2 linked regions of the Drosophila melanogaster genome follow. The protein of the gene in region 2 interacts with the protein of the main gene of each other region in a pairwise test. Each region holds a gene or a part of one and is shown on either strand. Other genes may lie near its edges.

Region 1 (6,885 bases), 640 kb from region 2:
TGCAGGCAGAGCCTGTAGCTTTTCTGGTTTCTCCAACTCGCTGGAGCTGTCATCAGCTAAGCTTTCGGGTCGGCCAGTTGTGGTAGTGGTCGTTGTGGTTGTTGCACTGGCTATGGTGGCTTGATCGGCACTGGCGATGGTGGGTTGCACCACATAGGCCAGGGGCAGATTGTAGGCGGCGTAGTATGGGGCACTGAACAGCACGGGTTGATAGGCTCCATAGGGCGTGAGGTCCTGGGCCGGAGCAGATCCTGCAATGAGTTTTCCGGACTTCTCTGCGACGGGTGCTCCTGGTGGCCAGGCCTCGATATTGGTTGTGCGCCAGTAGGCACTTGAGTTAGGATAGTTTTTGGTTTAGGAAGAGTGGGATAGAGGAAAATGGTGAAGAGAACCGCCGGTTAGTCGTATATTATTTACAGCAATAATTCGAGGGGTTAAACTGTGTCGGGTTAATATCATGCGGAATAAGTGTGATATCTAAAACTACTATGTACAAGATGAAAGCAAAAGCCCAAACAATTACGAAATACAAATATTTATTAGAACACTAGACAATACCAACTATGGATCCTAACTAAATGTGCTAAATAATAGCTATTAGGTTTAAGCCTCGAACTGGATTAGGACTCGAACTGGCCCGTCTCCAGCCCCGCCCCCTGATCCGCCTCCATGGTTGTTGTGCCCGTGGGTGGAGCATAGTAGACCGTTGGTCCTGTAGCCACTATCTTTCCCTCTCGCGGAAAACTTCTCGTCTCCAGATCGGTGCGTGCCAGGGCATCTTTAAGGTCCACATCTGCCGGTATGGAGATCACCTTGGCCCCGGGACCGGCGATGGTGAGACTCCGTGGATGGGTGAGAGCATAGCCACCGGGACCAACAATCGCCGTTCCTCCGCTGCCCGCCGTGGCCACGCCCCCGGGTCCTGCGATAGCGATGCCGCCCCTGCGAACCTTTAGCCGCTGAATGATGATTCCTCCTTCGCGCAATGCCTGCTTTTGGGTGCTTTCCTGAGCGGTGGCCACCTGGCTCACAGTGTGCATCAGGTGATGGCCCTTGTGAGCAAACAAGTGCTTCTCTGAGGAGGCACTGTTGTCCAGTTCCGCGGCTGTGTTCTCAATGGTATCCACATCATCGGCCATCCCATCGCCGGCGCCCTCGTTTTCATCCTCCCATTTATAATCCATCGAATCGATTGAGTGATTCTTCACAGGAACATTGCCAACAACCACAGGACCTTCTCCAGCTGTGGCCGCCATTGGAGGTCGGAAGGGGAGCTTGAAAATGTTTTGAAAGGCATTCTTGATGGCAGTCGAGGTCTGATTCTGCATCTCAGCTATATTCATTCCGGGCATGCGGAATGGACTTAAGCGATTCCGATTGGGCAGCAAGCCACCAGATGGTGGTAAAGTAGAACTCAACAGGACAGGCGCAGATGTAGCCTTGATATTAAGGGATGTGGATCCCTGGTAGATTTGCTGTTCAGCATCCTTTCCACTCAAGCGAACGGGTTTCGCTGTGGAACCAACCTTCTTTCTGTTCAAAGAATTTAATTCCGGTGACGAAGTGGGCTGAATCTTCTGTGGCTTATGCACGGGCTTCTCGCGGGAGTCCAAACGATATTCCTTGAAGTTCACAGGCACTGGAGCCTTTGTGGTGGTCGTACCAATGGTGGTGGAATTACCCCTTTTTGGGGTGCCATCTTCATTGAGAGCCAGTTCTCGGGGCAGGAAGAACAGGTGATACTTGGGCGTCGTCTTGCCCTGTTTTCTTCCAGCCTTCGCCTTGCCATAGAAGCTGTCCACATCGCCAATGATTTTGTATCCCTTTATCTTGTATTCCTGCGAGGCGTGCTCCTTGAGATACTCCTCCTTATTGAGTTTGTACAGGTGCACGGGCACCACAAAGTGGGCGGGCAGCTGCTGTGCTTCTTGTTCGGAACTCGGCTTCGGTACCTCCACCTGTTTGGGTCGGAAGTAGAGTTGCGCTTTCTTCTCCTCCTTGGAGGTGCTCTCAATTGCCTGGCGCAACCTGGGAGGCACATTGTAACTGCCCGCCACATTTCTTGTGAGTTTCACCGCCCTAATTGAGGGTTCTAACAAGGTCTGACCATTACTTCCCGAGAAGTGGTGCTGATGGGCGTGAAATGGCTGATGGGCGGGCTTGGGGAACAGGTATTGACTGGAATCAAGGATCGGTGGCAGCTTGGGCTGCTCCGGCTGCTTCTTCACGTAGCCAAAGGCCTCGTTAACCTTGGCTATCTGCTCGAGGATGCGCTTGGCCTCGTCCGCCTTTTCCGAGGACGGAGTGGCCGCATTGGGCTCAAAGTCCTCGGGAAATTTGACCAGCCGCTGCTTCTGAATTCTGCAAACGAAAGGTGGGGTTTGTTTGGTGGTCTCTATCTGTTGGTGGAGTTAGCTTCTAGTTGCTAATGCAGGGTAATGTGTTGTTGGGTGGAGGGAAATGAGTTTTGAGGGTTAGTCACAAGTCTGGGCTTTTTTCGGTTTAGTCACATAGTTCTAGGCAAGCGCATCAACTTCTACTTGGAATGAGCATTAGCGTTGACACAGTCACATTTGGCAGGCAAGGCATTTCATGGTTATTTGGGGTCTTAGGGCTGGGTAACTAGCTACTAGTCTACTTACTCGACGGCCAGTCCACCGTGCTGTTGAGCCTGGCCAAGTGCCAAAGAGGCCAGAAGCAGTGTTGAGAGCTGAAAGACAAATGTGTGACAATAGATGAATGAGATCTATGATTTATGCCGGTTAGATAGGGTGTCTGTATTCTGATGTCGTAATGGATACAAAATTCACACGTGTGGAATGCGGTCAAGTCCCGAAAGTCGCGAAAGTCTCTCTCTCCCTGCTCCTCCAGCACATTTGCATAATTTCTTTCGCTGCTGAAAGCTACGCCGAAAAGTGAGAGCCAGGTGGCAAGGAACGGCTTATGTACTTGACGGATTTTCCCTCGAATACGATTGTCAAGAACCTCACGATCGGCAAATATTTGACTCACTCTCGCCGGCTCTCCACATCTTTGGCAAAGTCAATATTGACGCAACCGTTAGCCGGTGGAAACGACCAGCCCGCACGCCTATCTATCAGCGCCGAAATGTCACAAAGCCGAGAGGAACTGAGACCAAAAGCCAAAACCAAAGCTGGATTCGAAGTCGAGGCTCGTGTTGTGTCATTGACCTGAACCTCTAGGCGGCTGTTACGATTTCGGTGCCGAAACGTAACTCGAGAGAAGAGATTCTGGCGCAGAGGCTGTCGAACCTGGTTGCCATTGATTTGCAAGAACTCTTGCATCCCCAAGCAGTAAGATGTATTTCTGTCTGCTTTCTTTTGTGTATTTCGCCTTATTTATTATATTGCCCTCACATAACGATGCCGATTCGACCCCATATCAGGTGTGTCTTGTCCAAAAATAAACTGGGTTAATGGCTCGAATGCAAAGTTTAAGCGCAGCATTTTATGTTCTCAAACAAGTTATAAATGAGTCTGTCTCCTGATCTTCACATCCGATCAGGTGTCTTTTGGTCTTAAATGATATTCCAGAGCCATTCCAATGCAGCTAATTGAGCAGGGATTGATGGACTTGGGACGTGTGGCTAACTGTCTACACTCATAAATTGATTAATTTATGAACCACTATCGAAACGATCACAAACTCGAAAACAAACCAGTGCACTTATAGTTAAGAACCCCACACAAATGTGACCGATTGTTTGATAGTTGGGAGGGGGAAAAGAAGACTTATATTACCATTTGTTAGCCCACGCATGATTTTTATACGTTTGCGGCATATTAATTTTATGTTCTTTGAGTCATAATTATTTTTTGGGCTTTTCAACCCAAGTGGTTGTATTGGTTGTGGTTATAATTGAATGGCATTGTTGCTTATGGGAGTCGCTGTAGAGTTTTGACTTTTAAGGGCATGCTTTTCATAATGGGAATATGAATAATGCAAGGAACAATACTTCCTAGGTATGAATGATTAATTCTCACTTTTTAAATTGGGGTGGGGCTAGAATATTGTCACGTTCAAATGGAATGGACAAAAGGGTTTCACTTTTCAGAAAGAATTAACTCTTTTGAAAAACCTTTACTAAGTGAACAATAACTGGCACAAAGAAGTCTTAACCTTTTGCATTCATATAAAAAAAAGTTTCCCCAATATAGTTCTTTGCGTCCAAATTGATTTGTGATTATTATAAACCCCAAAAAGATTTTAGGCACTCTTATTAATATTTGCATATGGCACAGAGCATAATTAAGGCTAATTAAGGCGATCAAAAAAAGGAAAGAACCAAGCCAAGAATCAAAAAAGTCGCTTAGTGAAAGTTAGTGTCGATTCAGAAGTGAAAGAAACAAAAGACTTAAGGCACGAACTTGGGCCAGTTGACGAGTTAATGAGTTCAGCGGCAGCACAGAGCAATAAATGATTAATTGCGGTCAGGTATAAACTAGTTTCGTTTTGTATTCCCAAAATGTGAAGTTAAGTCATTCATGGTATTTAATTTTCTTTTTTATGCGATTTGACTTACAACAAGAAAGCGCATTTTAACGCGAGGTTCTGGTGAATAGTTTCAGATTTTTCAATAAATGCTTGGTGTTCGTGGCGTTGACCAATCCTCGCCTTGACAATATATCCTTGAACTGCAAACGAGAACGGGAATGAGTGGCACTCTGGGTTATCACGCGGCAAAATCACACACACTAAAAGCACTATAAAACCAATCCTGCTGAGCTTTCAATTTACGATTGTTTCAGGTTCCGTTGTTTTTCTTTCTTTTTTTTTGTCACGCACAATAAATAGGGTCTGGAAATGGAACTCCTACCAAGAACCAAGAGCCAGCGAGCCAGGCGACGTCTGAAGATGAACTGAGTGCTGGCCGGGCCCAGCGCGTCTGTTTATAACATTTCCATTAGCGATGCAAACGACGAAGCGAAAGAAATGGCCAAGAAAACAGGGCCCGATCAGGTGTAAGAGAACTGGGTTTTGGGCAGAAGAGAGAGTCGAAGAGAAGACCGCGATTCGGGCACGTAGTCGAGCGCCTTGGCCTGGCTTTTATCTGGGGGCGTGGATCTGTGGGATTTGGTTACCAGCTCCAGGGTACACAACACCAATTGATATGCAGGCTTACAACTCTAGGATTTCGCAGATCGAAATCTTCCCCGATCCCTTGGGTTAGGCAAATAGTTTGCCTAACATATTGTCAGATATTTCTCAAGCATTTGATTAAATGTGCTGACAGTCGCTTCTTCAGTCTACTGTTTCGCAAACTCGCACCTAGCAAGAACACAGAATCACAGCGCTGACTTTGATTAATTGGCCGTTTATTGGCTTGATTGAGTGTGACTGGACAGGAGCGAAGTGACTGGCCATTACAAGTGGAGTGAGCCACGAGAATAGAAGCGAAATGCGTGTGGGAAGTGGAAAGGTAATCAGCTCGGAACGGGCCCAGAACATGACATAAGCCAAAATGGTAAGAGACTTACCGTGATGAAAGAATCGATTCGTTGCCGGGCAATTCAATTAAAATGTTTGCCTGGAACTCGTTAGAAAGTTTCGCACATAGTGACTCAAGAGTCATGTTCTTTTTTTTTTTTTTTGATTTGACAAGCACTTCGGCGTGAAGACTTCACACACTTCTCGGGTATCAACAGATGTCAGGATTAAGACTTAGCTTCGGACCGTTTTTGATCGATAATCATGAATAACAAATGTCTGAAATCAGAGAAATTGATTTCAGGTTCGTGCCTTAAGTCATTTGTTTTCATTGCAGACCAGTCTTTATTAGCCCAGAACCATTAATTTTGTGATTAACTTTGCTGTGATACAACTGCAATTTATTCTTTTATTGGCTTTTATGCCCCGAGCAGCCAGCTACTGACTGCGCTGTGAAATAATGCATATTCCTTGATTAAGCAGCATCGAACGGGGGGTCGACCTTTGTGGCACACGCAGGCATCAATAAAATTGCCACAAGATTTATGGTTTCGAGTGCGCAGAGCCGAAGGGAGCATACGAAATTAGCAGCAACACGTTGTAAGCCCCGAATGCGCCACACGCACCACTTGATCCACAATTGGAATGCAGCAATCAAAAGGCGATAAATCGAACCCCAACTGAAATCCAAGCAGCCGAAGAGCGAGTCGAGAAGTTGAAGACCGAAGACCGAAGACCGAAGACCCAAGACCCAGAGACCTTGGGGCCTATTTATAAATGCAGGCGAAACGGGACTGCTAGTGGGATGTCGTTGCCTAGGCCCGGGCCAATTAAGTCTGACCTTCGGCGAGGAGGAGAATCCCAGCCCAAACCGTTGTTTATGAGGGGGAAAATAAACAGAAACAGCTAACTGGCACCTGGGAGAGCCGGAGCCCCAGTAATTTGTGGTTTCAATGCAGGCCGTTCTGCTGCTACGCTAACCCAATTATGCACCTCGGCTACTTCCCAGGTGAGCCATTGATTTCTACGCTGAGAACGTGGCCATTTCAGCCATACAAACCCTAGACCCGGCCGAATAGAATCTATGTCAAGCTATGGCAAGCTTTTTAGTGCTCTTCTGTACGTTCTTTTAGTGCATTCGGCGAAGAAAGTTTTCGAGTGCGTAGGAACTTGTTTCAGGGAAATCACTCGCTTAGATCTCTTGACATTAAAACTTAATTGTGGCAGTGAAACTTTCGGTCAAAACTGGCCCATGTAATAACTTTTTGTTTTAGCAAATATGCATATTATTATTGCTTATGGGCTTTTCTTGGCTTCGCGCGGCCAGAAATATATTTTATTTAGGCCACGCCGTGGACGCCAAGGCTTTCCGTTCGATTCAAATTATTTGGCAAGTGCGCGCACGCGTCGAACATTTCAAATGCTGTATTATTTTGG
Region 2 (3,549 bases):
ATAAGCAAGAAGGAGCTTTATCGCATTGTATAAATAATATGGTGGGGCAACATTGAAATTCAAATGAAATTGCGATTGAAGGAAAGCGTGTACATATTCAAAATTGATGAGCGAAAATAATTTTATGATTTGGTATACATTCAACGGTTTCCTCGAAACGAAAAACCATTTGAATAATATTTGTAGCATATCTTCCAGCTAACAGGTTGTGTGCAATCAATTGAGTGAATCAAATCAGCTGAAACTTCAATAGCTTGCAACAAAGTATTATTTTGGTGGTGGATGGGGGATACAAATTCGCACTTGTTGTTGCCAAACACGTGCAGCGATTTAGCACGCATTACATTACAATGCGGCTCCGTTTCAAGAGCACCTGTTGCCAGCGGCGGCGGAAAATGTGTGGAAAATTTGTATGGAAAATGGGGGAAAACGCGAAGCAACCACTCGAGGAGTAGAATCAGCTCAAAAGCTGGGCGTGTGCTCCACTTGGAACACAAAAGGAAAACAAAAAGAAAAACGTGCGTGGAAATTCCCGCTATCTGTGCCCCCTTTTTCGGTTCAGCGAAGGTGAACATATCGATTTCTGATTTAGCCACTTTGTTATGCTAATTTCCCCGGCTTTCCCGTCCTCGATTTTCCTCTGTTATTCTTTTTTTTCAGCGTCCTGCTCCTGTGTTGACAATTTCGATGAGCGCGTGTCGCGCATTTGGCAACCCAAATTTAATTGGCAACCCGTGCGGGAATTTCGCCTGTTTACGACAGATTCTGGACCAGATTTTATGGTAGCAATTCCATGCACACGTTTGCCCACTTTTGGGCGACTTGGAGGCGATGCACAAGACGCGGCCAACTTTTGGGCTTTTCCACGGCTAATTGAGAGCAACGAAAATGGCTTTGTTGGCGGCGGTAATAAATCGACTTTTAACTGGCGTGTGATATTTTGGCATTTATATTTCGGCAACGGCCATCAATCAGAGTCATAAGGCATAAAAAGGTGCCTGGAACGTGATCGCAATGGGTTTCTTGCAGCTCTTGCCACTTGCTTGCTTTTTTTTTTTTTGTCTTATATTTTATACTTTTTTGCAGCTGGTGGCGGCGGCAGTAAAAGTTGCTGCAGTGTAGCGCGTGCATTCGTAAATGTGATCCATGGCTTTGGGCGAATGAAGTGCACATGATAATGGCTTCTGAGGTGGAAGAGTTTAAGATGTTGATCCGAAGAGAGGGGTGTGTTAAGGTGCATATCTTATATCTGAGGAATTTATTTAGAAGATGTCTGAAATAATACATATGCTTATTAATTTTAACACCATCTATCCGACTACAGCAATTCTGAATTGGAATCTAATAAAAAATAAGATTGGATAGGTTGACTTCTTGACTTCAAACGGAGTCACAAAAGCATTCACATCTTTACTTTACTGATTCGGAGTTCTTAAACTGTTAACAATTTTTTTTTTTTCGGTAAAGTGTGAAGTTATACCTTCCACCTTAATTACCTCATTTGAAGTTTTGACCACCGACTTGTGGTTCGTACTTCCACCGAATTTCGCCTGCGGATGGGGCATTGCAAAACTTGTCGCATGCATTTGCCGCACGATTCGCTTGTCGATTGCACGTCGTGCGCAGATCCCTTAATGGAGTTTTTACCTTTCGGCTCCTCTAGTTTCCAGACCCCTCCTCCACTCCTCCTCCACCTACTCCTCCACCCACTAAATCAGCATAACTCGGATCGTGGTATATATAAACCTGCAATGGTCAGCCAAAATCGATTCATTTCGTGTGAAAGTGTCGCGGAGAAGTGACTTAATACGGAAATCGAAAACGGAAGAAAGCATAACGGGTGAAAATGTTAAATATTTCAAAAGCAAGTGAATCGAAAGTGACTTTTAACTGAAAAATAATAGTTTATCTTTATATATAGATACCTTTGATATGTGTTCTGATGTGTTTTGGTGCTCCAGCGCTTGGAAGTTTCCATCATGAACCATCGACGGTGGGCGTTCCCGTGGGAGTTCCAGTCCCAGTGCCAGTTCCTGTGCCTTCTCCATATCCGGTTCCATCTCCAGTGGCGGTACCTGCTCCAGTAGCAGTACCCGTTTCCGATACCGTCACCGTGCCAGCGGCCTTTAGTGCCCATCAAGGATTTGCGTACGGAGCTGTCGATCACTATGGTCCACCACCTCCGGCGATCTTTAAATATGCTACAACCTATGCGGCACCACAGCCAGTTATTAAGTACTCCCTTGGAGCTCCAGTGACCACTACCACCACCACCTACACCGGATTTGCAGCACCACCACCACCAGCCGTTCATTATGCTGCAGCAGCTCCACCACCACCACAGTTCATAGCCCGGTTTGCTCCTCCACCCACTGGCTATCAGTTTGCAGCTGCTGCCCCGTCATATGGCAGGTACAAGCTCCACTTTGGGTCACCACCTCATCATTCTCCGGCCGCCGTTTATGGAGCTCCCCCTCCTGTAGCATTTAGCACTCAGGGCTGGTAACTCGAGAAGCGCCAGCTGGGCTCTGGCTCATCATGCATAACTATGAATGATAATTTCCTCAAATTAGCAATTAATTAAATCTAAATAATGTTGTTATGTTTCGTATTATACGCGACTGGTGAATTTATGCGAAGAACGCGAAGCGTAGCGATTAAATTATGCTTATGTCAATACCCATAAATAATTCAGATGTTTTCATGGCTCGAAGTTATTTTTTGGCTCAGCCAATTTTGGCCAAAGGCGAGGCTTGACTTTGAGAGGGCCCAGAAAAATGAATAAATAATATAAATTTGCCGCTATTAAAGCTATGACTACGGATCAACTGACCTAAGTCAATGAATGAAAGAGGGAAATAGCGGAGCCATCCGTCAATTGGGTCAACAGTTTAAACTTTAAAGAGCCTTTGAGTTCACAGATAGACAGCTTGATTACACTACAAATATTGTTATTAAACAAATAAATCAAGTAAATTGTGTATTTCCGTATTTAAGTTTGAATACTAATATATTTGGGTGGCGGCTTAACATTTAGATTTAATGTTTAAGAAGACAGAACTGTATTTGTCCACTTTTTGGATATTAATTGGATCTTGTTATCTTGAATTAGAATACATAAGTATTTTCTTAGATACCTACATCTATAAGTCAATAAATCAAGCTATTACACTATAAACAGCACATTAGCTAAATTACTAGAAGTACAAGAACGCTATAGTCGAGTTCTTCGACTATAAGATACCCACTACTCATCTAGTGGGCGAACGAAATAGAAATTTTAACATTTTCTGTTGGCAAATCAATGTTAGTAAAATGAAAAAAAAAAAATGAATAAGTAAGTTTCTGGGTGTAATATTAAATTAATATATCTGAATTTTAAATAAAAACAGGAAAAGTTCCTCCCTTTTCTTTCAGTGTAAACCTCATTCGGATCCGCATTTATTGTGAGTGTATTTTACTATCTAAAGGTCTACGAGTAACGGGTATAATAATAATAAATTTGTATTTAACATTAATTCCGATAGTGAAAAGTGGCTCCCCATTTCT

The links. Proteins that work in one complex are often made in the same cells at the same time.
Region 1: the proteins of CG13045 (region 2) and CG11905 interact in a two-hybrid assay, tested with the Drosophila melanogaster proteins (one large-scale study listed by BioGRID).

The regions. Positions count from the first base shown.
Region 1 is NT_037436.4:16,930,651-16,937,535, forward strand, and holds CG11905 (uncharacterized protein), read right to left. Parts: upstream 4,887-6,885; 5' UTR 4,838-4,886; exon of another isoform or gene 4,656-4,837; 5' UTR 4,559-4,655; coding exon 4,544-4,558; intron 2,711-4,543; coding exon 2,643-2,710; intron 2,362-2,642; coding exon 621-2,361; 3' UTR 522-620; downstream 1-521.
Region 2 is NT_037436.4:16,289,191-16,292,739, reverse strand, and holds CG13045 (uncharacterized protein), read left to right. Parts: upstream 1-1,789; 5' UTR 1,790-1,864; intron 1,865-1,921; 5' UTR 1,922-1,942; coding exon 1,943-2,506; 3' UTR 2,507-3,028; downstream 3,029-3,549.